2 linked regions of the Callithrix jacchus genome follow. The protein of the gene in region 1 interacts with the protein of each later gene in a biochemical or structural test. Links are inferred from orthologs where the notes say so. Each region holds a gene or a part of one and is shown on either strand. Other genes may lie near its edges.

Region 1 (14,604 bases):
AATTCTTGGCTGGGCGTGGTGGCTCACACCTGGAATCCAAGCACTTTGGAGGCCAAGGTGGGCGGATCACCTGAGGTTGGGAGTTCAAGACCAGCCTGACCAACATGGTAAAAAAAAAAATTCTCTGTAGAGACAGGGTCTCACTATTTTGACCAGGCTGGTCTTGAACTCTTGGTTTCAAACCACTGTGCCCCCTTGTCCTCCTTAAGTGCTGGCATTACTGGTGTATACCACCATGCCAGCCAGTTTAGAATGTTGAATAGGGCCACTTACTGCTTTTAGATTGCTTAAGGGAGGAATTCTGTGCTCTAAGTCTGTTGATTTCCTGTGCCCACTGGTTCTGGATTATTGTTAAAGTCTAACTACTGGCTCTGTTAAGCAGATAGGAGTGACGGTGGCACACAAATCCTGGATGATGTCCAGAAACGGAGAGGGAATTCTATCCCAGGTTGAGCACGCTAATCCAAAAATGTGAAATCCGAAACACTTCTGGTCCCAATCATTTCAGATGAGGGGTCCTCAACCTGCATTCTCTCTCTGGAGGAGTTCTGGGATTAGATTTTATTTGAAATGAGATCTTAATCGTCCTTTGATGAAGTTGAGACTGGGCTGTCCCTTTTCCCCGCATGGTTATGATTTGGGATTAGGTTGTCTCTTTTTCTCTCAGTGTCCAGCTCTTAAGGGCAAAGTGCAGAAGATCCTTATCTGGAAGTGGGGTCAGCCACCGTCTCCCACACCAGTACCTCGGCCTCCAGATGCTGATCCCAGTACACCCTCCCCAAAGCCCTTGGAGGGGCGGCCAGAGCGGCAGTTCTTTGTGAAATGGCAAGGCATGTCTTACTGGCACTGCTCCTGGGTGTCTGAACTGCAGGTAAGTCTAGCACAGGTTGGAGATGCAGGGGCTACGATGAAGAGGGTAGTGAAAACAGCCTTGTGAATAGAAGGAATGAACACAGCTTCTTGGTGGCTGATTTTCTCTTTCCACTCGAAGCTGGAGCTGCACTGTCAGGTGATGTTCCGAAACTATCAGCGGAAGAATGATATGGATGAGCCACCTTCTGGGGACTTTGGTGGTGATGAAGAAAAGAGCCGAAAGCGGAAGAACAAGGATCCTAAATTTGCAGAGATGGAAGAACGCTTCTATCGCTATGGGATAAAACCTGAGTGGATGATGATCCACCGAATTCTTAACCACAGGTACCAGCTGGGCACATGGGAGATGGGCAGTTTCCGTGGGAGACCCTGCTAAAGGGATTGGGAAAGTGGATGTAACCAATAGCTTAGACTTGGAAGACACTTTTTTTTTTTTGAGACAGTGTCTTGCTCTGTGCCCAGGCTGCAGTGCAGTGGCGTGATCTTTGCTCACTGCAATCTCCACCTCCCAGGTTCAAGTGATTCTCCTGCCTCAGCCTCCTAAGTAGCTGGGACTACAGGCATGAGCCACCATGCCCAGCTGATTTTTGTATTTTTAGTAGAGACAGGGTTTCACTATGTTGGCTAGGCTGGTCTGGATCTCTTGACCTCAGTTGATCAGCCCGTTTCAGGCTCCCAAAGTGCTGGGATTTTGGGAGCTCCAAAATGATCACCTCACGTGATCAGCCCGTTTCAGGCTCCCAAAGTGCTGGGATTTTGGGAGCTCCAAAATGATCACCTCAGGTGATCAGCCTGTTTCAGGCTCCCAAAGTGCTGGGATTTTGGGATCTCCAAAATGATCTCCTCACGTGATCAGCCTGTTTCAGGCTCCCAAAGTGCTATGATTACAGGCATGAGCCACCACTCCTAGTTGTTTGTTTTTCTGAGATGGAGTCTTGCTCTGTTGCCCAGGCTGGAGTGCAGTGGTGTGACCTTGGCTTACTGCAGCCTACGCCTCTTGGACTCAAGTGAATCTCCTGCCTCAGTCTCCCTAGTAGCTGAGCACAGGCACCCACTACCACACCCAGCTAATTTTTATATTTTTACTAGAGATGGGATTTCACTATGTTGGCCAGGCTGGTCTTGAACTCCTGACCTCAGGCAATCTGCCTGCCTTGGCCTCCATAAGTGTTGGGATTAATAGGCGTGAGCCATCATCCCTAGCCTTATATTATTTATTTATTTATTTTTGTGTTGCCCAGGCTTGAGTGCAGTGGCGTGATCACTGCTCACAGCAGTCTTCAACTCCTGGGCTCAAGCAGTCTCTGCCTGCCTCAACTTCCCAAAGTGTTGGGATTACAGGCATAAGCTACTATACTTGACACTTTATATTATTATTGTTTATTACATTTTTTGAGACAGAGTCTCGCTCTGTGGCCCAGTCGAGTGCAGTGGCACGATGTAAGCTCACTGCAGCCTCTTCCTCCCAGGCTTAAGGGATGCTTTGGCTCTGCCTCCAGAGTAGCTGGGATTACAGACGTGTGCCACCATGCCCAGCTAATTTTTTTTTCTTTTTTTGAGACAGAGTCTCACTCTGTCACCCAGGCTAGAATGCAGTATGCAGTGGTGTGAATCTCAGCTTACTGCAACCTCTGCCTCCTGGGTTCAAGCAATTCTTCTGCCTCAGTAGAAGAGGGGACTACAGGCTGGGACTACAGGCGTGTCCTAAGTAGCTGGGACTACAGGTGTGCACCACCACACCTGGTTAATCAGTGCATTTTTAGTAGAGACAGGGTTTCACCACATTGGCCAGGCTGGTCTCGAACTCCTGACCTTGTGATCTGCCTGCCTTGGCCTCTCAAAGTGCTAGATTACAGATGTTAGACACTGTGCCTGGCCTGATGCCTGAATTTTTTTTTAGTAGAGAGAGGGTTTCTCTGTGTTGGCCAGGCTGTTCTTGAACTCCTGGCCTCAAGAGATCTGCCTGCCTCGGCTCCTCAAAGTGTTGGGATTACAGGCATGAGCCACTGCACCTGGCCAACACTATATTAATTATTAACTGACTGAATTCTGGTGTTTGAGCTCTAGGGGAGTATAGATTAGAGATAATTTTTGGTCACAAACTGGTATAATAGAGATTCTGAATACATGTGGTCTGTGGCATACCAAGAGGTCTGGTGTGGAACATACTGTATTGTCAGTTTTCTTTTTTTTTTGAGATGGAGTCTAGCTCTGTCTCCCAGGCTGGAGTGTGGAGTGTGGTGGCGCAGTCTTGGCTCACTGCAGCCTCTGCCTCCTGGGTTCAATTGATTCTTCTGCCTCAGCCTCCTGAGTAGCTGTAGCTGGGATTACAGGTGCCCACCACCACACCCGGCTAATTTTTGTATTTTTAGCAGAGACCAGGTTTCACCGTCTTGCCCAGGATGGCCTCAAACTCTTGACCTCGTGATCCGCCCACCTCGGCCTCCCAAAGTGCTGGGATTACAGGCCTGAGCCACCGCGCCCTGCCTGGTATTGTCAGTTTTCTAGAGGAAGTGAGGAGGTTGCCTTTTCTGGCTCAGGGTTTTCTCTCCTTGACTTGCAGTGTGGATAAGAAGGGCCATGTCCACTACTTGATCAAGTGGCGGGACTTACCTTACGATCAGGCTTCTTGGGAGAGTGAGGATGTGGAGATCCAGGATTATGACCTGTTCAAGCAGAGCTATTGGAATCACAGGTGAGTGATTTTGGGGGAGGAGTAGGGTTGTTTCTTCTGTAGAAAAGGGCTTTGGCAGCTGTGTGATGTCTTTCTTCTTTAGGGAGTTAATGAGGGGTGAGGAAGGCCGACCAGGCAAGAAACTCAAGAAGGTAAAGCTGCGAAAGTTGGAGAGGCCTCCGGAAACGCCAACGGTTGATGTGAGTTGGGGCGAAAGGGACTGTAGTTTGTTGGGAAGGACAGCGTATCTTTGCTGTGGTCTAATCATGGTACTCTAAGTAATGAAATGCAAATAGTAACTTTGTAGCTGAGATTACTTCACAAAGTAGGCTTCCCCACTTCACATCTCTGTGTATCAGAAAGCACTAGGATTACTTTCTTTTTTTGGCATCAGAAGAAAAAAAGATGCAGTGTTATCTATGGGGAGGGACACAGCCAAGCTTTTATGAACTTACATTGGAATCTGGCTTAATTCAGGCTCATTTCCTCTGGGTTTTGCTTGTACAGTATAATTTGAGGGTGATTAACATTGAAAAGATGAATCTAGGAGAGACATGACGATTATTTATCTGGTGGATCCTGACTAGAATTATTGTGTTGATAGGGAGTCTGTGATATGTTTTTCCTCAGTGATCTATGGGACCAAAATCAGGTCTGTCTGGTTAAAGCCCTGTTTCCTGTAGGACCCTAAACTGAACACGAATTTGCAGTAATCATAGGGGATCTTTTCCCTCAGAATTTTTTGTAGCTCTCTCCAGGAGGATCTGTGAAGACTAGTGAGGTAGAAGCAGCTTCTGTATTAGGGGAAGAAGGGAGTACCTTGCCAGCTCTTGACTTCTCTATTTCATCCTTCAGCCAACTGTGAAGTATGAGCGACAGCCAGAGTATTTGGATGCTACAGGTGGAACTCTGCACCCGTATCAAATGGAGGGCCTGAATTGGTTGCGCTTCTCCTGGGCTCAGGGCACTGACACCATCTTGGCTGATGAGATGGGCCTTGGGAAAACTGTACAGACAGCAGTCTTCCTCTACTCCCTTTACAAGGAGGTAAGGAAATCTGGGCCTGATAGTTTTTGTGTGGGTATTTTATGTTTGCAGCCTTCACTTATGCTCTGAGGAGAGAGATAAGGGAATAAAAAAATTGGTCTCTGATCTTCAAGAACACTGTGGATAATAAACACATGTACACGTGTGTTGAGTAGATAGTAGATAAACATGATAGTGGATAAACATATGTACACAGCAGAAGATATGAGGGCATGGAACCCTGGGTAGAGTTAGCAATGGGTTCATAGAGTCTCAGTTCTAGCAGAATGATTATGTGTTGAGGGAAGTAGAATTGTGAGTGGAATTAGTATGGAAAGACTTGGCTAGGCGCCATGGCTCACGCCTGTAATCCCAGCAGTTTGGGAGGCTGAGGTGAGTGAATCACCTGAGATTAGGAGTTCGAGACCAGCCTGACCAACATGGTAAAACCCCGTCTTTACTAAAAATACAAAATTAGCTGTGCGTGGTGGCACACGCCTGTAATCCCAGCTACTTGAGAGGCTGAAGCAGGAGAATCGTTTGAACCCAGGAGGTGGAGGTTACAGTGAGCTGAGATTGCACTATTGCACTACAGTCTGGGCAACAAAAGCGAAACTCTATCTCAGAAAAAAAGTGTAGAAAGACTTAATGGAAGAGATAAGACTTGCAGTTCTGGTGGGACCTTGGCTTTTTAGAAAGGAGTGGGCAGGGCATGTGCATAGAGGAAGGTGAGAGCAGGAGCAGCAGTGCAGGCTCCAGTCCTTGGCTTAGCTTGAGGGGGCAGCAGGGTGGTGGGTGTTCACTGGGATTGCAGTGTGCTGGGGCCCTCAGTCCTCACTCTCCTTCTCTTTTTCCTCCAAGGGTCATTCCAAAGGCCCCTTCCTAGTGAGTGCCCCTCTTTCTACCATCATCAACTGGGAGCGGGAGTTTGAAATGTGGGCTCCAGACATGTATGTCGTAACCTATGTGGGTGACAAGGACAGCCGTGCCATCATCCGAGAGAATGAGTTCTCTTTTGAAGACAATGCCATTCGTGGTGGCAAGAAGGCCTCCCGCATGAAGGTATCTCAAGGGAGGAAAGCCACTCTAGAGAAAGAGTTGTGGCTTCTGGCTCAGTTTACCTCTTTGTAATCTGGTCTCTGAGACAAAAGGGTAACCCTGGGAGGAGGAAAAAGTTCCATTGGTCCCCTGGTTGTGCTTACACCAGAGGAGCTGACTAGTAGTGACCAAGTTGCGTTCATGTGCAGAAAGAGGCATCTGTGAAATTCCATGTGCTGCTGACATCCTATGAATTAATCACCATTGACATGGCTATCTTGGGCTCTATTGATTGGGCCTGCCTCATCGTGGATGAAGCCCATCGGCTGAAGAACAATCAGTCTAAGGTGAGGGCTTAGGGAGGGACATTGGAGCACCCAGTTTGAGTTTTTTCTAGATCTAATTCATTAAGGGGAAAACTTGTAGGAGGAGAGGAGAGGGAAAAATTGTCTCTGCCTTCCTTCCTTATATGTGACAGCCCTTGGTGGCCAGGCCTGTAAAAAGAGTGTGAGGAGTGGGAGGCTTAACTATTGGGCAGTGAAACAACTTGAAATTTTGCAGAGATTTACCAGAGTCCTCTTTTCATTGGATTTCACCTCTCTCCATCTGCCTCACCAGTTCTTCCGGGTCTTGAATGGTTACTCACTCCAGCATAAGCTGTTGCTGACTGGGACTCCATTACAAAACAATCTGGAAGAGTTGTTTCATCTGCTCAACTTTCTCACCCCTGAGAGGTTCCAGTAAGTGTGTGCTTATCTGTAATCAGCTCATAATTATGCTTCTCATTCTTCCTGTTATCCATTTCCTGTATCACTTTCCTTTCTTCCTTTCTCCTTTTCCAGTAACTTTTTCCTTTTTCTTTCTGAAGCAATTTGGAAGGTTTTTTGGAGGAGTTTGCTGACATTGCCAAGGAAGACCAGATAAAAAAACTGCATGACATGCTGGGGCCGCACATGTTACGGCGGCTCAAAGCTGATGTGTTCAAGAATATGCCATCCAAGACGGAACTAATTGTGCGTGTGGAGCTAAGCCCTATGCAGAAGTGAGTTGGGAGGGACAGAAGCAGACTCCATTTAGACATCTGCCAGTCTGCAGTGTTTCCTATTCCTCCCCTACTCATCTTCAAGGCATCTGGTGACAGGAGCAAGCAAGGCCTGAAGAAACCTGATGCTAGGGCGCTGGAGCACATAATTCTTACTTATTTTAAGTTATACCTTCCTTATTTAAAATGGTGGTGGTGGTGCTTGTGTGTTAGGTGTCCTTAGTCCCAAAGTGGGATGTGTTCGAAGAAAGATCTCAGTTACTGGGACTCCATTATTGAAAGGCTCTCGAGTCTAACCCGCGTTTCTACCTTGCCCACGTAGGAAATACTACAAGTACATCCTCACTCGGAATTTTGAAGCACTCAATGCCCGAGGTGGTGGCAACCAGGTGTCTCTGCTAAATGTGGTGATGGATCTTAAGAAGTGCTGCAACCATCCGTACCTCTTCCCTGTGGCTGCGATGGTAGGTGTGCCACCTCTTCTTCCTCCCTGGGTTGGGACTCTTCATGTGGGCTTTCTTTTGATATTTTTTCTTCTTTGCTTTTGTCCTCAGGAAGCCCCAAAGATGCCTAATGGCATGTATGATGGTAGTGCCCTAATCAGAGCATCTGGGAAATTATTGCTGCTGCAGAAAATGCTCAAGAACCTTAAGGAGGGTGGACATCGTGTACTCATCTTTTCCCAGGTACCATGTGGGCTGGGAGATTTAGGGAACAGTCATAGACAACCCTCAGTGATATAAGGAAAGGAATTAACATCTGACTTTTCCATAGTTAAACCGTGCTCCTTTTACAGATGACCAAGATGCTAGACCTGCTAGAGGATTTCTTGGAACACGAAGGTTATAAATATGAACGCATTGATGGTGGAATCACTGGGAACATGCGGCAGGAGGCCATTGACCGCTTCAATGGTGAGAGAGAAGGAGTTGTTTCGTTTCAGTCATCCTTATTTGCTTACATTTTGGTATTGTAACTTCTTGTGCATCTCCTTTTCAGTGTAGTTCTTTTGGGGCTTTGTCAGTTGAGATGGAAGAGTAAAGCTTTTGAATGTCTCAATTGGAAGAATGTGTTACACTATTCCTAGGAGAATTTTTTTCCTTTGGGGTCTTTGTTCTTTCTGTTAGAAAGGAGAAAGCATTGCATTTTGAGGGCGAGCAAGGGGTCAGGACTTGCTCAAGCTCAAATAGCAAGTTATTGGCAGACTTGGCTGCCTTGGTAGACACTACTAGGTTTGTTTGTTTTGTTTTATTTATTCAAGATAGGGTCTCACTCTTGTTGCTGAAGCTGGAGAGCAGTGGCATGATCATGGCTCATTACAGTCTGGACATCACCCTAGGCTCAAGTGATCCTGCTGCTTCAGTCTTTCGACTAGCTGGGGCTATAGGCATCAGCCATTGCTCATAGCTAATTTAAAAAATATGTTTGTAGAGGTGGGGTCTTGCCATGTTGCCCAGGCTGATCACAAACTTCTGGTCTTTAGCAATCCTCTTGCCTTGGCTTCCCAAAGTATTGAGATTATAGGCATAAGCCACTGTGCCCAGTATTGCTGCTACTACTTGTTTTAAAACTTTTCATTTTAATTTTAGACTTAGAAAAAAGTTACAAAATGACACAGAGTTCATGTGTACTGTTCAACTAGCTTCTCTTAATAATAGCTTATATAACTGCAGTACAATGATCAAAACTAGGAAATTAACATTGGTATTGTACTATAAATGACCTTAAATGAGGGTCACGCATTTTTCCTGCTGTCCATTTTCTGTTTCAGGATCCAATCCCAGATCCCATGTTCCATTTAGTTACCATGTTTCCTGCTATCTGTGACATTTCTTCACTTTTTTCACCCTTTTCTTGTATGATACAGGTGATTTTTCTTTTTTTTAAGATGGAGTCTTGCTCTGTTGCTCAGACTTGAGTGCAGTGGCATGATCTTGGCTCATTGCAACCTGTGCCCCCTGGGTTCAGGCGATTCTTCTGTCTTAGCCTCCTGAATAGCTGGGATTACAGGCATGTGCCACCACACCTGGCTATTTTTGTATTTTTAGTAGAGATGGGGTTTCTCCATGTTGGCCAGGCTGGTCTTACCTCAGGTGATCTGCCTGCCTTGGCCTCCCAAAGTGCTGGGATTACAGGCATGAGCCACTGTGCCTGGTTGATAGAGATACTTTTGATGAGCATTGGTCAGTTATTTTGTAGAATGTCTCTAAGTTTGGATTTGTGTGATGTTTTCTCTTGATTTTATTAGAGATTTTGGGTAAGAATGCACAGAGGTGATGATTTTTTTTTTTTTAGGTGGAGTCTCACTCTGTTGCCAGGCTGGAGTGCAGTGGCGCAATGTCAGCTCACTGCAATCTCCGCCTCCCAGGTTCAAGTGATTCTCCTGCCTCAGCCTCCCGAGTGGCTGGGACTACAGGGGGTACAACACCATGGCTAATTTTTGTATTTTTAGTAGAGACAGGGTTTCACCATGTCGGCCAGTAAGGTCTGCATCTCTTGACCTCATGATCCACCCGCCTCGGCCTCCCAAAGCGATAGGATTACAGGTGTGAGCCACTGTGCCCGGCCTGACGTGTCCTTTTCAATGCATCATACTGGAGGATTTACTGGTAATGACTTGGTCACTAGTTAAGGTGGTATCTGCTGAGTTTCTGCAGGATGAAGTTTCTCTTGTTCCCATTATGATTGATAAACAGCTTGAGTGAAATTTTTTTGTTGTTGTTTTTGAGACAGAATTTCGCTCTTGTTTCCCAGGCTGGAGTGCAGTTGCACAGTCTGGGCTCATTGTAACCTTCGCCTCCTGGATTCAAGTGATTCTCCTGTCTCAGGCCTCCCGAGTAGCTAGGATTACAGGCATGCGCCACCACGTCTGGCTAATTTTGTGTTTTTAGTAGAGGCAGGGTTTCTCCATGTTGGTCAGGCTGGTCTCAAACTCCCAACCTCACGTGATCCACCCGCCTCAGCCTCCCAAAGTGCTGGAATTATAGGCCTGAGCCACCTCGCCCGGCTAGTAGCTTGAGGGAGATAGTTGAGACTATGTCAGTGTCCTGTTTCTCCTGAAACTTTCACACTGATTTCAGTATCCATCCATGGACCCTTGCTTACAGTGAGCATGACTGTGGTGTTTGCCTCATGAGGTTTTATATTCTGACATTCTTTTTTTTACCTCCGCCTCCTGGGTTCAATCAATTCTCCTGCCTCACCCTCCCGAGTAGCTGGGATTACTGGCGCCTGCCACCATGCCCAGCTGATTTTTTTGTTTTTTTTTGAGTTGAGTCTCAGTCTTTTGCCAGGCTGGAGTACAGTGGCACCATCTCAGCTCACTGCAACCTCCAACTCCCTGGTTCAAACGATTCTTCTACATCAGCCTCTGGAGTAGCTGGGATTATACATACAAGCCACCACACCCAGCTAATTTTTGTATTTTTAGTAGAGACGGGGTTTCACCCTGTTGGCCAGGATGGTCTCGATCTCTTGACCTCGTGCTCGGCCTCCGAAAGTGATGGAATTAGGCGTGAGCCACCGTGCCTGGCTAATTTTGTATTTTTCGTAGACAGTGTTTCACCTTGTTGGCCAGCTTAGTCTCCAGCTCCTGACCTCAGGTGATCCGTCTACCTCAGCCTCCCAAAGTGCTGCTGGGGTTACAGGTGTGAGCCACTGCACCTGACCTATTCTGACATGTTTTCTTTTAAAGATAGGGTGTTGCTCTGTTGCTCAGGCTGGAGTGCAGTGGCACAGTCAGCTGTCTATAACCTTGAACTCTTGGGCTCAAGTGATCCTCCTGCCTCAGCCTCCTGAGTAGCTGGGACTACAGGCATGTGGCACCATGGCCAGCTAATTTTTTTTGAATTGGAGTCTTGCTCTGTCACCCAGTTTGCAGTGTAATGGTGTAATCTCTGGTCACTGCAAACTCTGCCTCTTGGGTTCAAGTGGGTCTCCTGTCTCAGCCTCCCAAGTAGCTGGGATTACAGGTGTGCATGACCACGCCTGGCTAATTTTTGTATTTTTAGTAAAGGTGGGGTTTCACTGTGTTGGCCAGGCTGGTCTCGAACTTCTGACCTCAAATGATCCACCCACCTTGGCTTCCTAAAGTGCTGGAATTATAGGCATGAGCCACTGTGCCCAGCTTAATTTTTAAAACTACATTTGTGAATTGGAATTTAGGAGACACTTCTAATGGTGTTTTTGGTTCCTTTATTAGCACCGGGTGCTCAGCAGTTCTGCTTCTTGCTTTCCACTCGAGCTGGGGGCCTTGGAATCAATCTGGCCACTGCTGACACAGTTATTATCTATGACTCTGACTGGAACCCCCATAATGACATTCAGGTGAGCAGAGGCAGCAGGCATCCTTAGATACAATAAATAACATGTTATGCTAGAAAGGCACAGTGACCTCTATGAGGGCTCCACCGTCTGGAATAAACTTTTTAAGTGAGAAACAACAGATTCTTTTTGTGGTGTTTATCTTATTGTAAGCCAGAGAGTTTGGTTAGCTATGGTCCTATTTTGGGTAACATGATAGAGGGTGGTGTCTGGGGGCAGGGGTGCAAAAGGATGTTTCCTATGAAGGCAAGCTGCAGACCTTGCCTTGTACTGAATTTAGCATATTATGTGGAAGTCAGGATAAGAGTGGCGTCAGGAAAATACGATTTCTGGCTTTATTTCCTGCTCAATTCCAGGCCTTTAGCAGAGCTCACCGGATTGGGCAAAATAAAAAGGTAATGATCTACCGGTTTGTGACCCGTGCGTCAGTGGAGGAGCGCATCACACAAGTGGCAAAGAAGAAAATGATGCTGACGCATCTAGTGGTGCGGCCTGGGCTGGGCTCCAAGACTGGATCTATGTCCAAACAGGAGCTTGATGATATCCTCAAATTTGGCACTGAGGAACTATTCAAGGATGAAGCCACTGATGGAGGTGAGCTAGTCAGGAACTTATATTTTGGTGTGGGGCTTGGCCTCTCTGAAGATTAGGGAGAATCTTTGATACCAGGGGTCTTGTGGGACTTGCTTTTTCCACTGCAGCTGCTGAAGCTGACTTTGGGGGTATGGGCCCTTGATTTTTTTATAGGAGGAGACAACAAAGAGGGAGAAGATAGCAGTGTTATCCACTATGATGATAAGGCCATTGAACGGCTGCTGGACCGTAACCAAGATGAGACTGAAGACACGGAATTGCAGGGCATGAATGAATATTTGAGCTCATTCAAAGTGGCCCAGTATGTGGTACGGGAAGAAGAAATGGGGGTGAGTATGAATCTAAGGCAATCCTGTACTTGGTGATTGGTCTAAAAATTGGAATTGAGAACAAGGTGGTATTTGAGATGAGAGGAAAGTATCCGTAGGCAAATTTATACATTGATGAATTGATACACCTCTTCCCTTGAAGATAACATCATATTTGACTAATGAGATTCTCATCTTTGCCTTTGTTGTCAGAAGACTTACAGCTGAATATCATGCTCACAATGGTTATATTGGTTCTTTACCAGAATGTCATTTACTGAAACTAAAGAGAATAAGTAAAGAAAAAAGAAATTAAAAAAAAAAAAAAAAAAAGACAATGTCATTTTTTCTTGTGTGTTTTGTTAAACCCTACAAATAAATTTTTGAATGCTACCTCATCTCTCTAGAGAAAAGGCAGAAGATGCTAGATAATCTGTCTCCTTGGGTTTTGTGGATTTTATTTAAGAGATAGGTTCTCAGCCAGGCATAGTGGCCCACGTCTGTAATCCCAGCAGTTTGGGAGGCCGGAACAAGCAAATCACTTGAGGCCAGGAGTATGAGCTCATCCTGGCCAACATGGTAAAACCTAATCTCTACTAAAAATACAAAAACTAGCCAGGCATGATGGCGCACCCTGTAGTCCCAGCTACTCGGGAGGCTGAGGCAGGAGAATCTCTTGAACCTGGGAGGCAGAGGTTGCAGTGTGCTGAGGTTGTGCCACTGCACTCCAGCCTGGGAAATAGAGCCAGACTGTCTGAAGGAAAAACAACAACAAAAAAGAGACAGAGTCTTGCTCTGTCACCCAGGTTTGAGTGTAGTGGCACAATCATAGCGCATTGCAATCTAAAGGTCCTGGGCTCAAGAGTGACCCTAGTAGATGCGTGCTACCACACCTGGTTAATTTTTTAAAGGTTTTTAGAGATGTCTTGCTATGCTTAAATGATCCTCATCCCTTGGGCTCACAAAGCACTGGTATTACAGGTGTGAGCCACTGCACTGGGCCTCCTTGTGTTTATTTTTATTTATTTATTTATTTTGAGATGAAGTCTTGCTCTTTTGCTCAGGCTGGAGTGCAGTGGTGTGACCTCGGCTCATTGTAACCTCCAGCTCCTGGATTCAAGTGGTTCTCCTTCCTCATTCTCCTAAGTAGCTGAGATTACAGGCATCACCAAGCTCGGCTGATTTTTTTGTAGTTTTAGTAGAAATGGGGTTTCACCGTGTTGGGCAGGGTACTCTAGAACTCATGACCTCAAGTGATCTGCATGTTCTAGCCTCCCAAATTGCTGGGATTACAGGCATGAGCCACCGTGCCTGGCCTCCTTGTGGTTTTCTTTTTTTTGAAACAGAGTCTTACTGTTGTTGCCTAGGCTGGAGTGCAGTGGCATGATCTTGGCTCATTGCAACCTCCTCCTTTTGGGTTCAAGTAATTTTCCTGCCTCAACCTCCCAAGTAGCTGGGATTACAGGCTCACACTACCACGCCTGGCTAATTTTTATATTTTTAGTAGAGACAGGGTTTCACCATGTTGGCCAGGCTGGTCTTGAACTCCTGACCTCAGGTGATCTGCCTGCCTTGGCCTCCCGAAGTGCTGGGATTACAGGTGTGAGCCACCATGCCCAGGCTCCTCGTGTTTTTTTTTTGTTTGTTTTTGAGACAGGGTCTTGCTCTGTTGCCCAGGCTGGAGTGCAGTGGCATGATCTTGGCTCACTGCAACATCTGCCTCCTGGGTTCAAGCGATTCTCCCATCTGAGCCTCCTGAGTAGGTGGGATTACAGGCATGTGCCACTACATCTGGCTCATTTTTATATTTTTAGTAGGGACAGGGTTTCACCATGTTGGCCAGACTGATCTCGAACTACTGACCTCAGGTGATCCACCTGCCTCAGCCTCCCAAAATGCTGGGATTATAGGCATGAGCCATGCACCTGGCCCTCCTTATGTTCTTTTAAAGATTAGAATTGGTGCATACCTTTTTATTGTCCTCTCTTCTTTATCTTGGTGTTTTATAGTAAAAAAGAAAATACTGTGTGAGGAATGTGTGGCTCATTTTAATGGTTTTCTCTCCCAAATAGTATAGAGGAGTATGACATGGAAAAATAAAATTTCCTTTTTCTTTTGGTCCCTTGTAAACCACTCAGCTCACGGTTCTTTGAATTGGCATTGGCTTTGGTGGTCTTTGTCATCTTTTCTCATTCTTCCGACTTAGAACCATCCCCCTTGCTGTGTTTCCCTGACACTTAACCTGTGATTTTGTTTTTGAAGGTATTGCTACCAACCTTAGTTTATGTGTAAGTGTGGCAAATGGTCTGACACAGGTCTATAAAGCAGTAGTGTTCAGTCAGAAACAACCCTACTGATAGGGTGCTCATATTCCTTTCAGTGGCAGTGAATGTAATAGAAGTGATTGACGGGGAGCACATGCTAAGTGGATCATTTTTGCTGGTGACTAATGAGTATACACATTGTTCTTTGATCATTCTTCATCTTTTCCTGTGACTACAGCTGCTGTTGACTTTTAAAAAAATATTTTTTAAGTTTTATTTTTCAGTAGATAGTAATTTACATGGTTCAAAATACACAAAAGGGCCAGACATGATGGCTCATGCCTATAATCCCAGTACTTTGGGATACTGAGGCAGGAGGATCACTTGAGCCCAGGAGTTGGAGACCAACTTGGGCAACATGGTAAAATTCCATCTCTACAAATAGTAAAAACATAGCCGAGT
Region 2 (15,245 bases), on another chromosome or scaffold:
CACAGTGATGCCTTTCTTTGCTAGAAAATAAAGATAAGATGCAGTGGTCCACTCTACAGTTGGACAGATCTGTATTGAAATCCTTGCTCTGCCACTGACTAGCTTTGTGATCCTACACGTTATTTTACCTCTAGAGGTCTATTTTCTTACAGTGTAACCAGAAGGACACTATCTCATTGTTTTAGTGTCAGAAGGATTAAATGACATGATACAAGTGAATGCTTAAGACAGTTACCATTATCACCTTAAACCAGATGAGATACTAAAATAATCACCTTGAAAATTCTGAGTTCACACTAGGGCACAACCTCTCCAAAAAGCTCAAACTATTATGCCTGAGAATCAGATGTGGTTGCCATAACAACATCTGTTCCTGTACACATTACAATGTGCTACATGCACAGGAGTGTTTTTATACAATATTTTACATCCGTGTGAGCCATGCATACTCAGGTTAGCACATTCTTAACTTCACAAGCTCAGTGACACTTAAAATATTTATGCAACAGAACATCTGCAACTAAAATAAACCTAGGTAACTTAACAGTTATGTAGAAACATAAAGCTGTCATCTAGATTTTGCATATCTTATGTTTTAAAAATTATATAAAGTCACTGGTCTTTTAGGAAGATTTTCAGACTAGAAGATTGGTGCCCACAACTGGAAAACCGTGACTGTGTTGCTGCTTATCCTGGTACTTTGAGTATTCAGATTTCAGGCAAGAATACTAGCAGTGACCGCCGGAATTTCCAGTACACCAGTAGAACCAGCTGTTTTCAGGCTGTACTCCTGTAAAAGTTTAAGATCTGTACACAAACAGAGGGAAGATGATGCCTGAGGAACAAGGTGAAAGCTAGGAAGCCAGGGGTCTGGCCCCTGACCCTTCATCAACTTAAGAGTTCACCTAAAATTGTATTTTGGAAGTGGGGGAAGATGCCTCATGCTTTAAACAAGAAAAACAGACTGAGGATACTTTATAATATACCAATCTAGATAAGGAAAAGTGTGAGGTGAGGAGCACTTCCCAGTTTACTTCACTTTAAATAGGTACTGCAGCAAGGCAGGGGCACAGCACAAAGAGTGATCCTAGCACTCCGCTGCCTACATAAGAACTCCACAGGCATACAGTCACTTGCTGTCACTGTTTAAGTGGACAACCTGGCCTAAGAGCAATTTAAAAAGGGAAATAACTCACAAGCAGCCCTTAAGGGGTATTTTAGGGGAGGACTCTCAAAAATTGAGTTTTTCCTCTGCCGTCACACCACGCAGAAGTTGTGACATTGTCTTCTGTGACCAAACGTGGTTTTTCCCAAGCAGCAGACATCAGCTGGGTGTCCTCTAACTTGGTTATAGTGTCATATTCCACAAGTTGGGAGGCTCAGTCCCTGAGACTGCTCTCCCCTTCTTCAAACACTAACTGGAAGTCTGGGCCTCCAGAAATTCTGATGCTTTAAGCTGGGGTTACTAAGACCCCCCTCAAGTTCTATTAATTTGCTGGAACATCTCTCAAAACGTAGGGAAGCACTTACGTTTGCCAGTTTATTATAAAAAATACAGATAAAGAGATGCATAGGGGCTCGGAGGGTCCATGCTCTCCCTGGGTGCACCACCCTCCAGGAACCTCCATGTTTTCAGCTATCCAAAAGCTCTCTGAAGCCAGTCCTCCTGGGTTTTTATGAAAGCTTCATCCTGTTGGCATCCTTTCCTACCTCCTTTCCCCCAGGTATAGGGTGGGGCCCTCTCTAGGGAGGGTTTCAAGACCCACAATCAGAAAGCTGGGTGAAGATTAGTCTTGCCTTGGGGTGGGTGAAAGGAGTGCAAGAGAAGGTCAGAGAGATTATTTTCTGAGGCCTAACACACCCAATATTCTAACAAAACATGGTAATAGGGGTTATGGGTGTTATGAGCCAGGAACCGTGGTGGACGAAAACCAGTATGTATCATAACACCACAAAAGGACAAGCAGATATGTCCATTTATAAATTATTTCAGAAGCATGCCAGGTGTTTGTATCTAAATGATGTAAAATTCTTCACGCTTTATCAAAACTACTCAGAAATAATTTCCCACAATAGGAAATATATTTCTTTCACTATTCTTAACAGAATAATTTAATTAAACCATGTTCTCAGTTTTTAAGCCATCTCTCAGGATCAAGGATTCACCAAAAGTATCTTTTCAAAAGCATTCTTGTACCAGGTTTTGCCTCTTGATGGCTCAGTTTTTTATACTTTTTCCCAGTTTTTATTTGCATTTTTCTTGTTGCCCCCCCCTTTTTTTTTAAGGCAAATTCTCACTCTGTCGCCTAGGCTGGAGCGCAGTGGCACGGCTCCCTGCAACCTCTGCCTCCCAGGTTGAAGTGATTCTCCTGCCTCAGCCTCCCAAGTAGCTGGGATTACAGCTGTGCGCCACCACACCAGGATAATTTTTTATTTTTAGTAGAGATGGGGTTTCACCATGTTGGCCAGGCTGGTCTCAAACTCCTGACCTGCCCACCTTGGCCTCCCAAAGAAAGTGCTGGGACTACAGGTGGGAGCCACTGAGACTGGCCTCTTACTGCTGTTTTTAAATGTAACTAATTTTGAAGCAGGATTCTGAGCACTTTTTGCATTTGGATACTCCCAGTCTCAGCTCACAAGAGCAAGAATTCTGTCAACCTAAATTTATAATTCCAATCTAAAATTTTAATACATTCCACCGTATTTCCACTACACAGGAATTTCTTCAAAAGAGACCACTCAAAAGGTTCTGAAGTCACCAGCTTCTACCAGAAGAGCAGAGCTTTACAGATGGTCGACTGAACCACAGGTTTCCACAAGCTCTTAAATGGAGCATGAAGGCTTCAGAAAAAGAAAGGGTAAATGCCAGCAATTATCAAAGACAAAAACAATTGCTCAGGAAGAGAATGAACAAGACTGCCTTAAACTAAAAAACTGGGAAAAGAAAAGGGACCATAAACAAAGTTTCTTTTTAGATTCTTATAAAGTTAACTTCAAGGTAGAAATATGCTACTTCAATTAACTGCCACCTGCACAATTTACACCCAAACTCTCCCTGCTGAGGCTGTGGCCAGCTTCTTTAAATATAGGGCCCATTGGGATCCTTGAGTATAAGCTCACAAGGAAGAACAAAACCTTACTATGAAATGATAAAGCATTTATGTGAACCTCCATTAGCCAAACAGCTTACAGGAGCACCACAAAGGCCTGTGTTCTGAGCACAGGCCTAGGAACCAGCCCAGACATATTTGGTGGCTCACTTTATCATTGTATGTGATAATGTCTTGATTTCCCTACTTGTGAAACAAGGACAGTTCTGAGAATCAACAATAATTTATAAAACGCCTGGAAAATGAAATGGGCAAGCCATCAATATTATAATACATAAAGGCCAGCGAGGGGGCCTTTACACTTTACAGTGCATCCTCATTCAAGTTATCACAGTCACAAAAGAAGTGACACATAAATACAACCCACAGCTAAGTGACTCAATTACAAATATATACCCTTACTAAAGAGGGTATCAGGATATGTAGATTCATTTTTAATTCTAACAGCTGGTCAAATAATGCATGACTTTTAGATTATGTGTATGCTTTTAAATTATATCTTTAACTTAAATCTAAAGCTAGGGCATATATTCAGAGCAGCCTTCCCTTTGTAAACTCTATTCAACATTGTCCATGCTTTCCTCTTATTTTCTTTATCTTTATTTCTAGTACACTGCTGAAATTCTTGAGGGGTTCCAGGATTTCTCCAGCAGCTATCTTGGAATCAAGGTTAAGGATCAAAATGCCAAAGTTTGTGAGTGAATCTCAGGGAACCCTGAAGGCAGTGGACTGAATTAATACATAGAGATGAGAGGACCCAGGACTAAAACACTGATATGAATTTTGCATTTTTCATTGATTAGAATAAACACATGTGCCCTGCAATCAAAACTGTCACCTTCCATAGCTGGCTCAAATGTTATCTGTGACTTCCTACACACATACACTCTACATAATCAAGTTGACTTGAGAAGCATAATACGTGAGGAGAGCCTTCTCATTCCAGCGAAGCAGAATATGAATTCTCACTTAAGCTGACCCCAAAACTGGCACATAGCAAAGGTAGGTCATAATGTAACACAGGTGTAAGGAGTACTAAGACACAGAGAGAATGAAAGAACATAATCATCCTCTCCTCACTTTCTAATTAACAGGATCAGACAGACAAACAAAAAAAAAAAAAACAAGAAGTCACAATGGCCACCCATGATGGACAAAGCATGGATGGTTTATCTAATAAAGTATCTCAAAATCAAGGTGGAAAGTGCCAATGTAAAAACAAGAAACAGCTCTCACATTCAAAATATCAATTAATTAGCATGGGGCTTTGGTTTATACCAGTTTCAAACACCAAGTTTCCAAACTAACAATATAAAAGATGTTAACTGACACTGATGTACAACAGCAAAACATGGCATTTGCTCCACAGTCAGTATCACAAACTCTTACAAAACTAGGAGAGGGGCCAGGTATGGTGGCTCATGTCAGTAATTCCAGCTACTCAGGAGGCTGAGGCAGGAGAATCACCTGAACCCAGAAAGCAGAGGTTGTAGTGAGCTGAGATTGTGCCACTGCACTCCAGCCTGGGAGACAGAGCGAGACTGTCTCAAAAACAAACAAAACAATAAACTAGGAAAAGAAAAACTTTAAGTTTATGCAATGCTAGTAACAAGTCAAGCTCTGTGAATCTAACTACAATTAAATTATTTACACATAGGGAGCAATGTTTCTCTTAATGTACATGTGTCTCAGGCAAGAGAATGAAGGTTAAACTCCCACTGAAAGTATTTTACCTTACAAAGGACACAACAGACTTTATGACACTCTTTTAAAGTAAAACTCCATTGGAAGTCCAGGTTGAACAAGTAGCTTATTTACACAACAGTCATGGGTATTTTGCTGTAAACCACAATAATGCTTCTAACCTTATAAAATAAAAATTTCAATTATTTACCTTTTATATCATTTTAAAAATCTTTATTTCACTAACACTTAAATACGTTACTTAGAAAAAAGTATATAAAGTTTAATTCTGGTATGTTTTTTACTACACTTATATGTATTGTCCATCTCAATACATCTAACAAATGCCATCTCAAACTAAATATATTTTCCCCAAACTACACCTCTGATACTTCAACTTTTCATTTGTATTTAATAATACGATAACCATTTCCAGCTCTAGAAAACCCAACTGTATTCTATGTGTATGTGTGCACACACAACACATGCCCCAATTATGAAATCAACTGGCTGAGGTCTATTACAATTATTGCAGTTTTGTTACTTATACAAGATTCTCAAAAGAAAAATGACAAATTCTGAAGTTTTTCTTTTCTCTTTTCTACCCTGTGAAGTATCAATCCCTACTTTCTCCTGTATAGCAAAACAGCTCTATCTTCCTTAGGTTGCAAATTTCACAATAAAACTTGTAGCCAACATCATCTCATTCAACTAATATACTGCTGAGTATTTCAGTTTTCAAAATACTAACGTTTTTAATCCTTTCAAAACTTTTAGGGCCAGGCGTGGTGGCTCACACCTGTAATCCAAGCACTTTGGAGGCCAGGGCTGGCGGATCACCTGAGGTTAGGAGTTCAAGACCAGCCTGACCAACATGGTGAAACCCCACCTTTAAAATTAAAACAAAACAAAAAAACTTTTAAGTAGTTACAAGGAAAGCAACAACTTCACACATAGTATACCTTATGTTTTTAATAATCAAATATAAATAATAAGCCACTGTGGCTTGATAAAAGCCTACCTGTCGGTTACTTGCAAGTGGTACCAAAACCACCTGTTCAATATCCCAAAGTTCTTATTTTAATATAAATAGTATTAAAACTCTTCCTGCACTCTGGTATAAGGAGAAAAAGATAAACTTAAGCAAAGCAAAGCAAATTAACAGAGGGAATGTCTAAAATCAATGACTTCCAAGATTAGCAGTGCCAGGGGCATTAAGAGTTTCAGCCCAATCTCCTATGTTTTCTATACAGGGACTATAAGAACCAAAATCAGGGGGGAGGGAAGAGCTCCCCCCCCAAAAGAAAAAAGAACCAAAATCAAAGAAGTTAATTTCAGTATATAGCAGCTCCTGGTAAGGTAGTCTCAGGAAATTTTTTGACAAAGGCCAAGATAAAGAAAGAATTTCTACCTAAAGTTCAGTTGCACAGACTACCCATTCCCACACTCTAGTTGAGTCTTTTACTATACTTTAATAAGTATACAGTTTACCTACTATAAATCCCAGTCTTCAAGCCCAATTATTTCACCTTTTTTTGGGGGGTAGAGATGGGGTCTCGTTACGTTGCCCAGGCTGGTCTTGAACTTCTGGCCTCAAGTGATCCTCCTGCCTCAGCCTCCCAAAGTTTTGGTTTCACAGGCATGAGCCACCTCGCCTGAACTCCCCTTACTTTTTTTGAGTGTTAAAACCAAGAAACCTTTGAAACTGTAGAATACGTGCTTTCTAAGAGCTCACAGCAAGTTTTCCTTTAAGGGTAAATGACTGTTACCACTTAGGACATCATTTAACATTTGTTAAATAAAACAAAAGCCCCTCCACAAACTTCATCTCCAACATTCCCTCAAATAAGTTGTCTTCAAATTATATGCTCATTACTAGAACTTAAGTAACTGTATATAAAACACCAAATAAAGATAAAAACTCTACCTGTCTACACATACTATACAGTATTTAAAAATTAAAAGAATCCCATTTAAAGATCTGATTTTTTTACAATTACTAAAAAATTGTAAAAGCAATGTAGTCTCTAGTCAAATACCTGTACCAAAGGGCCTCCTTTTCACTCACCAAAACGTTAATTGGTAGCAATTCTCCAATGAAAAATTCTCCTGTTAAGCACCAACTGGTTAACTAGGTATCAAAGAATACACCCATTCAGTTCCCCATAAACTTATCTTGGTGTATTTACGTAAGATACTTGTAACAAAGTCTTAAAGGTACCCACAAACAACCACTGTCAATCGTTAGTAGCAAGAACAAGTTCATGCAAAAGCATGTTTTCATCAGATATTTAAGGCTTTTAGAAGCTTGGAAATTGGGTCATCAAAGTAATAGTAACTGAATACTTAACATACTTTATACACAAGGGTGTAGAATGCAAATGATTACAACAATAACAGCATCTGCAAAAATTTCTCTTAAAGAAGCTGTAAGTCATTTCTTATGTTAATAAGTGTTCAGAACCCACTACTGCAACAGCTCTAACCGGTTCCTTGAAGAATGTGGCTAGGCTGAAATTTTGGAAGTGTTGGCTTTGGTGGTGACCAAGGAGGAAGAAGTCTCTGGCTTCCCTGTTGCTGAAGTTCCCACCCTCCAAAATGAATATACCCACCGGTGTGAATTGACAATGTGGTCCAAAGAGCAAGGCAGGAAACGGAGTCCAGATCCTCAAAATGGTAGTACAGGGCATAACCACTAGGCCACCTATCAGTTCAGTACAAAAGGTACAACCCTGCGCATCATGGTGTAAAAGCTGGGGCCTAGGTTTCGCATTGTGCATCTCACACCTATGGAAATAACAAGAGGAGTAAAATCTATAGAAATCAACACACCCTAAGAAGGTGGGTGCTCACAGAAGACTGCTATCAACATTTTGGTAAAGGTGGTTGGCTGCTGAGATAATGAATGGCAATTACAAGTCCAATTTTGGAGGGAAACAAATTTTTTACAATCAACACTTGAGTTTGACAATGAAGAACCCAACATGGGCTTGATGTTTACCAACAAGGCTTTGCAAATCATGACACCCATCTTCTCACTTATAAAAACTACTACCCCACAAAAATCCAACATCTCTCAAGAATGATTTTTACCTCTCAAAGAACTGGAAAGATCTGGGCTATGATGAAAGGAGTTAATTAGCTATGCCCCCAAACCTGTTACTTTCAGGTTTCAAACTTTCTCCTTTACCACCAGACTTAGGAAAGCTATGGTGACACAGTCAAAATGTTATTCTAGAGAAAGGGAATCCGAACCAAGGATGTGCCAAGGTGAATCGTCAAGAACAAATGTGGACTGTCTGAGGGCCAACAGTTATGAAAAAGTAAAAGGAGCAAACTTCTAAAATGCAGGGTGGGCTCTTTAAAAGGAGTAAAATCACTGCTCTTGACTCACTTAATCCTTCGCCATGTTGCTGTCAGCTCACCAACTAAGTGCGAGTGTGACTTGCTGGGCCCATTTTCCCATGGTCTGTAGAAGGCGCTGTGAAGCACATCCTGTTCTAGCTCGGGGGCCCTTCCCCCCTCTGCAGCCTTACCCAGTGCAGAGAATGCGCCCCCTACTGACTCCAACACTCATCGCCTTTAGCCGACTTGGCTGCGGTGCATTTTGGGTGGGGGCTGGTATTTTCTCCATGGCCATAAACCAGAAGCAACAATGCAGATTTCTAAAGAAACTGTATCAAGCTATCCAAGAGATTCTTATTTTCCTTTCCATTCTGAAGGTTCAAGACACAGGCACAAGAAGCATCAGGGATGGGAACTGGGTGTGTGGGGATGGAGAGCATTAACATGGCAAACACAGCAAACAGTTTGGTTCTTTTTCCCTCCTAAGCCTTTGTCTGTAAAATGGGGTTATGGCAAGAAGTGTCCAGAGAAACTGGTGAATGCAAAAACATTAAGAAGACTTCGCGTGTGTGTGTGTGTGGGGGGGGGGGGGGTGTGTGGCTAAAAAGGTATCAGACCTAGAGTCTTGCCTTGGGCAGAAGAGGAAGAGAAGCAATCGCGCCTTTTCCAGCAGACAGGGATCAAGGTTGGGGGGGAGGGGAAGGCAGGCAAGCAGCCCAGAGGAAAGAAGAGGTGAATAGAAGGTGCTCCCAAAACTACTCCCCATTCATTACGAGAAAATCTTTTTGCAGCTTTCTGGATTTCCATTTTCTACCATCTTACTGCAAAGTTAGGGCTCAGAATGTTCGAAGGAGGTGCTGACCAGGCAGCTGAGACTGGGAAAAGGGATGGTTGGTAGACTGTGGTCATGATAGGAGGGAAGCTGGCAGGTTGGGAAGGAAGGATTGCACAGGGGAGGTAAAGACTTTCACTCCGTGCCATGCATGCTCCCCGGCCCCCTCAACCCCGTCCCCCCTCCCCCAGCTAAGGGTGGGTAGACCCGGCAGAAGGCTCGTTCCAGGCATGGGAGTGTGCGTGGGGGGGGCTCCTTTTGGGGGTGGGGGGCGGACGGGATTAGTTCTAGGGATGGGAGAAGCTAGGTTCTGGCTGGAGGCGGGGTGGGGGAGATGCCATTAGCTGCAAAAGCTCCCGGCAGCCAGGCTGGCTGCTGGCCTCGGTGGGCTCACGGGGCGGAGAAGGGGGTCGGGCTGCAGGAGGAGGCGCCTGGCCCTCCAGAGCAGAGCCGGGTAGCGGTCCGTGCCGGGACTGGCGGCCCGTCGGCGCCGGGGTGTGCAAAGAAGCGTGTGTGCGGCTGGAGGGCGGCGATGCGAACAACAATGCGCCCGCGCCCGGGGCCGGGCTGGGCAGACGGCCGCGCGGGCCGGGGTCGGGAGGCAGGGCTGGGCCGCGGGTCCGCGCGCGGCGGCGCCAGGCTTACCTTGACTCGGCCTCAAGGCGCGCGTGGGGCCGGCGTGCTCGGGGGCCGGACGGCGGCGGCGGCGGGCGGATGGCGGCGGCACGGCGGTGGCGGCAGCGGGGAGGGCGCGCCCGGGGCCTCGTCGCGCTCCGGCTCGGCGGGCTCCGGCTCGCGCCGCGGCCGCGGGTGCTGCCGGGGGGCGCGGCGGGCGCAGCAGAGCGGCGGGCGGCGGCGGCGTCGTCGAGCGGTGCAGACAAAGGAGGGGCGGAGGGAGGAGACGGAGGGTGTGGGAGAGGCGGCTTCACCGGCGCGGGCGGCGGCGGCCGCGCTCCTCTCGCTCCTCAGCAGCGGGGACCGAGAGAGGGAGCTGTGTCTGAGAAGACGCCAAAATCCCCCTTAGCGCTGCCTGCGGGAGTGGGAGGGGGCACAAGATGGCGGCGGCCGGGGGGGGCGGGAGTTCAGCTCATGGATCCCGGCGGGCGGCGGAGGGGAGACCGGGCCAGCGGAGGCGGCGGCGGCAACAGGCGGGGGAGGGGGGCTGATCCCGCGTCTCCCCTCAGCAGACAATACAAGCGCCTCGGACCGAGTCCCCGAACCTGCCCCAGCCAAAATGGCGGCCGAGAAAGAGAGGAAGTGACGTAAGTGCCTCATTAGCATAAGAGGACTCATTGTCCAGCTAAGTAGGGGGGGCAGTGGGGACAGTACCCCTAACCCCCTTTCCCCCAGGGAGGCCCCTCTTACTCCCACCTGTGCTTGCACCTAACTTTTCCTGAGGGAGGGTGCTCTCAGAACCCCCACCCCCGCCTGAGGGAAATTATATAATCCCCACTGAGGTGGGGGAACTCTCGCGAGAACCAGGAGGATTTACCATTGACCCACTAGGAGGCGCCGTGGATAATGGCCGCAGTGCGCTCCCAGGGCCCGGGTGCTCAGCGGGCGCCTTCCTCTGGCCGCAGCGCCGGCGGCGGAGGCAGAAGCAGCGGGCCGCAGCACGCCCAGCACTCAGTCAGGTGGCCGTGCTGGGGATCCCTGCGCGGGCCCAGCTGGGCCTGGACTACATCTGGCGGGAGGGGTGTGCAGGGCGGCCCGGGGCGGCTCCACGTGCTCAGAGGCCCGCGCTTCCTCCACGCCTGAGAAGCGGTGGAAAGGCGCCGGAACACCTGGCCGGTCGCGTCTGATGTCTCCTGCCTTAAATGAGGTGTGAGGGCCTCGTGCTTCACACAGTGACTTGGGATGAGACACAACCCCAAGGATGCCTGCCCCTTCCTGGGGGGTATTCGGTGCAGAGGGGTCGAGATTTTATTAAGGTTCGCCATTACTCTGTGACTTGACATTCTTCCCAGTAACAGTGATGGACTCTTCTCTTTGACCTGAATTTAAAAAAAAAATGGGAATCCTGGTGCCTTGAGGACTCCCAACGGGTGAAATTTCAGGATGAGAAGTGATGTTGCCAATGGGGGCATTGGCTCTCTGCAAGATCCTTAAACAACACACCTTGTAGTCCTAGGGACATAACTTTTGGTGCTCCCACAATCTGGGTAGTGTAAGACAGCACATGGTTACGTTGAAAAGTTAGGTCAAACCCAACCAATGCATTATTTTCCTCAACATTTTTGAACCAACCTTTTAAAGTAGGTTGGTTAAAGTATCATGATTTAAAGTATCATTGGTTAAATGTACTGGCAAATAATAGATGTCAGTAGTGAAGAATTAACCAAGCCTGTTTCCTTAATATGTGATTTGTAAATTCAAGTCAACATACTTTTAAGCCATACTTAACATCCGAAAATAATCTGACTTCGTTGCAAGTAACATCAACTGTGATTACACATAGCTGCTCAACGTCTAAGACTTCAGTTAGCCCTGTTTAAAAAACTTTCATACAACACATTTCTGAAATTGTGATAAAATATCTTTAAAAACCAAGTCAGTATTTCAAGGGAAAACAGCTGAAAAATGTTGTGGAAAAAGGGGTTGGGGCAAAGCATTTGATTCAAAGAACCAAAGATAATCTAATTACATACTGCAGAAAACAGACAAAAACTAATATGAAATAAGCAAAGTAAGTTTAAGTTTAGTTTTCCTTAGATATACTTAGATTCCATATAGTGATAATGCAAATACAAAGGGAAAACATCTGGATTTCATCTTTGGCCTCATTTACAAAGCAAAATAGGATGCTGGATTCAGATGTAAATGTTTAATTTTACAGTGTTTGAGCACCAGATTTACTACAAAAATGCATCTAAATAGTCCAGATTCTTTTCTAAATGACTTCCAAATGCTGTGAGTCTTCAATGCTCAAATACTGTCTCTACTGTAAATTCTAAGAGTGACAGTGTTGTAATGATTGTGGGAATAACAAATGAAAAGATTGAAAGAGCAAACATTATCTACTCTAGTGAGATCTGAGAAGGCAGTACTGTGTATCAGGTTCTCTAAGGTGGTTACTTAATTTCTGCTCCACATACTTGACACTGAGAACTTAACTTTGAGTTTAGGTTAAGAATAAATTCTAATCACTCCAAAAAAACAGAATATTACATTTCTATTATCTTAGCTTAAAACTAATTGCACATCAAGCACTAATAAATTTTCTTGTTGTTATTAATGAGAAATCTCCTCCCCAAGGAAGGCAGGTCCCTTATTGGACAGCTGGTCCGTTCTGGACAAAAGGGAAACAGTAGTGATCCTTATTGAAATGTGTATTATGGGTTCAACTACAGAAGTATGGGAGGTTTTCATATTTGAAATGACACCACAGGTTTTATAGTCTGGGATTCATTTCTGGTAGAATCTGTCAGAGAGAAATGCAAATAAAAATTAGACTTTCAATTTCTTTCCTTTTAAAAAAGACAGGGTCTCACTCTGTTGTCCAGGAATGATCACAGGTCACTGCAGCCTTGACCTTTCAGACTCAAGTGAATCTCCCACCTCAGCCTCCCAAGTAGCTGGGACCACAGGTGAGTACCACCACACCCAGCTAATTTTTTTATTTTTTGTAAAGACAGGATCTCCCTGTGTTCTCCAGGCTGGTCTCCAACACCTGTGGCTCAAGCTGTCCTCTTGCCCTGGACTCCCAAAGTGCTGGGATTATAGACATGAGCCACTGTGCCTGGCCTCAATAAATTTCTTCAGCAGCCAAATTAAGCCAGGAAAATGTAGTAATCAGGAATATTGTTCAATAAATAATTTAGAGACACCCCTTTTATTTGCAAAAGAAAGTCAACTTAAACTAATTTTCTCAAAGCATGCCCTTACTCAAATTTTAAAAGATACTACATGATCCATAACCTATGCTACAGTTAGAAATTAACTGATCTCTTCTGAAATACTTTAGAGAGAGTAGATAAACGTATTATTAGCCCTGGCTTTATTGGATAGCTTAGCCTGTATTTTAACTGGCAGAAGTGCTTAAGGAAGAGATTTTTCATATTAGTAGAGATGTGAGCTTTGCTGAGGGTCTTCAAATAATATGAAAACAATTCTTTTGAGAAAAAAATTGTTACGCTGGGCTTGGTGGCTCACATCTCTAATCCCAGCACTTTGGGAGTCCAAGGTGGGTGGATGACAAGGTCAGGATATCAAGGTGATCCTGGCCAACACGGTGAAACCCCATCTCTACATAAAAAAAGAAAAAAGTTAGCCAGGCGTGGTGGCGTATGCCTGTGATCCTAGCTACTTGGGAGGCTGAGGCACTTGAACCCACAGGCAGAGGCTGCAGTGAGCCAAGATCGCACCACTGCACTCCAGCCTGGGAGACAGAGCAGGACTCCATCTTAAAAAAAAAAAAAGAAAAAAAGAGAGAGAAACAAATTGTTACATAATTCAGTAAGATGTTTAAAAATTACTGTAGCAGCTATGTTTCTGCCTCAGTATCATTAATACTTTTCCTTACTGATAGAGGTTATTGCTCAAAAGAGAAAGATACGACTATGTAATCTACTGCTGCCAAATTGCTTCCCAATTCACAATATGCATTTTAAATAGACTTGCTTTGGTAGATGAAATGCTTCATCAATTCCACAGCTGAAAAGAACCCAATTCTAAAAGCCTGCTCTAAATGGATTTTCTAGTTTAAGAAATTTGAGATGCATTTTTAAGGAAAGGGCAGAGGTGTGTATTTCTTTTACAGATCATACAGATACAGCCATGATATAGCTATAAACATTTCATCAGTTAACATTATCTTACTTCTGACATCTATTGGGTATAAAGATTCATGATTCCAGTATTTATAAAGAATATTTCAAATTATTCTCCATGTAAAAAATTCTACATTCACTTACTCTAATCAAAGCAGCAATACTTTATGCAAAAAAACCATATACATTTATTTATAGGTCTTAATACAGCAAAATGTAAATGAAAATTGAGACCATTAAAACTCATTAGGCCAACAACTTTAAAATTACTTAATCTGAAATATAGAAGTTCTTCATAAAAAAGATGTGTGAAGTTTACCTTACCTTATGGTTTATACTTTAAGAGTACATTTTATCAAAATCAGTAACCAGGCTTCTTTCATGTTTAAAGTGAAATGAACATAAGTATAAATGATTATATTTCTTTTATGTAGTAGCAAAAAGAGTCAATAATCCTCTCAAGAAAGATACTATTTCATTTCCTCCCAACTTGGATTCACCATAAACACGATCCACAAATGATATTGGAACCTAGTTAAAAACAAAAAACAAAAAACATTAAAGTCAGTCTTCAAAAATAATTAGGTAGCTTAGCAGGTATACCATATTACCAACACAACAGAAACAGGACTAAAAAAAAGTCCTAAAAAGAAGTCCTTAAAGTAAGTACTTTAGGATTCTTAAAGCAACTATGTGTAGCCGGGTGCGGTGGCTCACGCCTGTAATCCTAGCACTTTGGGAGAGTAAGACGGGTGGATCACCTGAGGTCAGGAGTTCAAGACCAGCCTGGCCAACATGGTGAAACCCCATCTTTAAAAAAAAAAAAAAAAACAACTATGTGTATCTCCAAGTCTTTAAAATTAAATGCATCATCTAAAGATAGGTCACATGAACCAATCTACAACTGTTTAAAATGCACTGATCCTAGGTATCACCTTGGTTTACTCAAGTTTCAGTTTGCATTTCAAAGAAAAATTATACCCCAAAAGTAAAGCGGCCTTTTGCTTAGATTTTTCAGTTGTTTGTCAAATTTAGCTATAACAGCTTAGCATTAAGTAAAACATCTTGCAACTTCCACGGGAGAAGTGACATTTCAGGTTAGTTATTTTCTTGCTATGAATAAGAGTTTTACTAGTAAATGAGGAGTCTTCCCTACCCTAAGAGCTCACTCGCTAGCCCTAAGTATTACAGATCACCACTCCCTTGGCTCTGTAATTCCTGGTCTTCACTTACAGGAAATGGACATATGGGATTCATCATTCATTTTAAAGTATGGTGGACACTGGCTGTGGCAAAAGGAAAAGCAGAGACTCAGTCCATAATGCTGACCGGTTAGAAGGAAGGCTAGGATTGAGAAAGTACCAGGAACTTTCCATTATTTAAAAGAGAATGCTAACTGTTAATGTTTTAAATCTTATTGTTCAAATGTACTAATGTGAATTTTTACCATTTGTGCATGAACATTCTAAACAACCAGAAGACCTCCACAATTTAGCAGTTATGAAA

What was found.
Region 2: the proteins of CHD4 (region 1) and ADNP form a complex in vitro, tested with the Homo sapiens proteins (2 studies listed by BioGRID). The link is inferred for Callithrix jacchus from reciprocal best matches to the Homo sapiens genes CHD4 and ADNP.

The regions. Positions count from the first base shown.
Region 1 is NC_133510.1:20,774,859-20,789,462, reverse strand, and holds part of CHD4 (chromodomain-helicase-DNA-binding protein 4), read left to right. Parts: intron 1-667; coding exon 668-871; intron 872-991; coding exon 992-1,197; intron 1,198-3,436; coding exon 3,437-3,568; intron 3,569-3,650; coding exon 3,651-3,747; intron 3,748-4,402; coding exon 4,403-4,594; intron 4,595-5,434; coding exon 5,435-5,635; intron 5,636-5,820; coding exon 5,821-5,958; intron 5,959-6,229; coding exon 6,230-6,351; intron 6,352-6,479; coding exon 6,480-6,653; intron 6,654-6,975; coding exon 6,976-7,117; intron 7,118-7,207; coding exon 7,208-7,339; intron 7,340-7,449; coding exon 7,450-7,567; intron 7,568-10,854; coding exon 10,855-10,979; intron 10,980-11,332; coding exon 11,333-11,570; intron 11,571-11,723; coding exon 11,724-11,899; intron 11,900-14,604. UniProt on the Homo sapiens protein: ATP-dependent chromatin-remodeling factor that binds and distorts nucleosomal DNA. Acts as a component of the histone deacetylase NuRD complex which participates in the remodeling of chromatin.
Region 2 is NC_133506.1:46,452,218-46,467,462, forward strand, and holds the start of ADNP (activity-dependent neuroprotector homeobox protein), read right to left. Parts: upstream 9,151-15,245; 5' UTR 8,405-9,150; coding exon of another isoform or gene 8,258-8,404; 5' UTR 7,574-8,257; coding exon 7,406-7,573; intron 6,925-7,405; exon of another isoform or gene 6,862-6,924; intron 1-6,861. Other genes in the region: uncharacterized protein LOC118153633, read left to right, coding at 8,258-8,404, 9,162-9,167, 9,262-9,841, 10,158-10,231; DPM1 (dolichol-phosphate mannosyltransferase subunit 1), read right to left, coding at 14,166-14,270.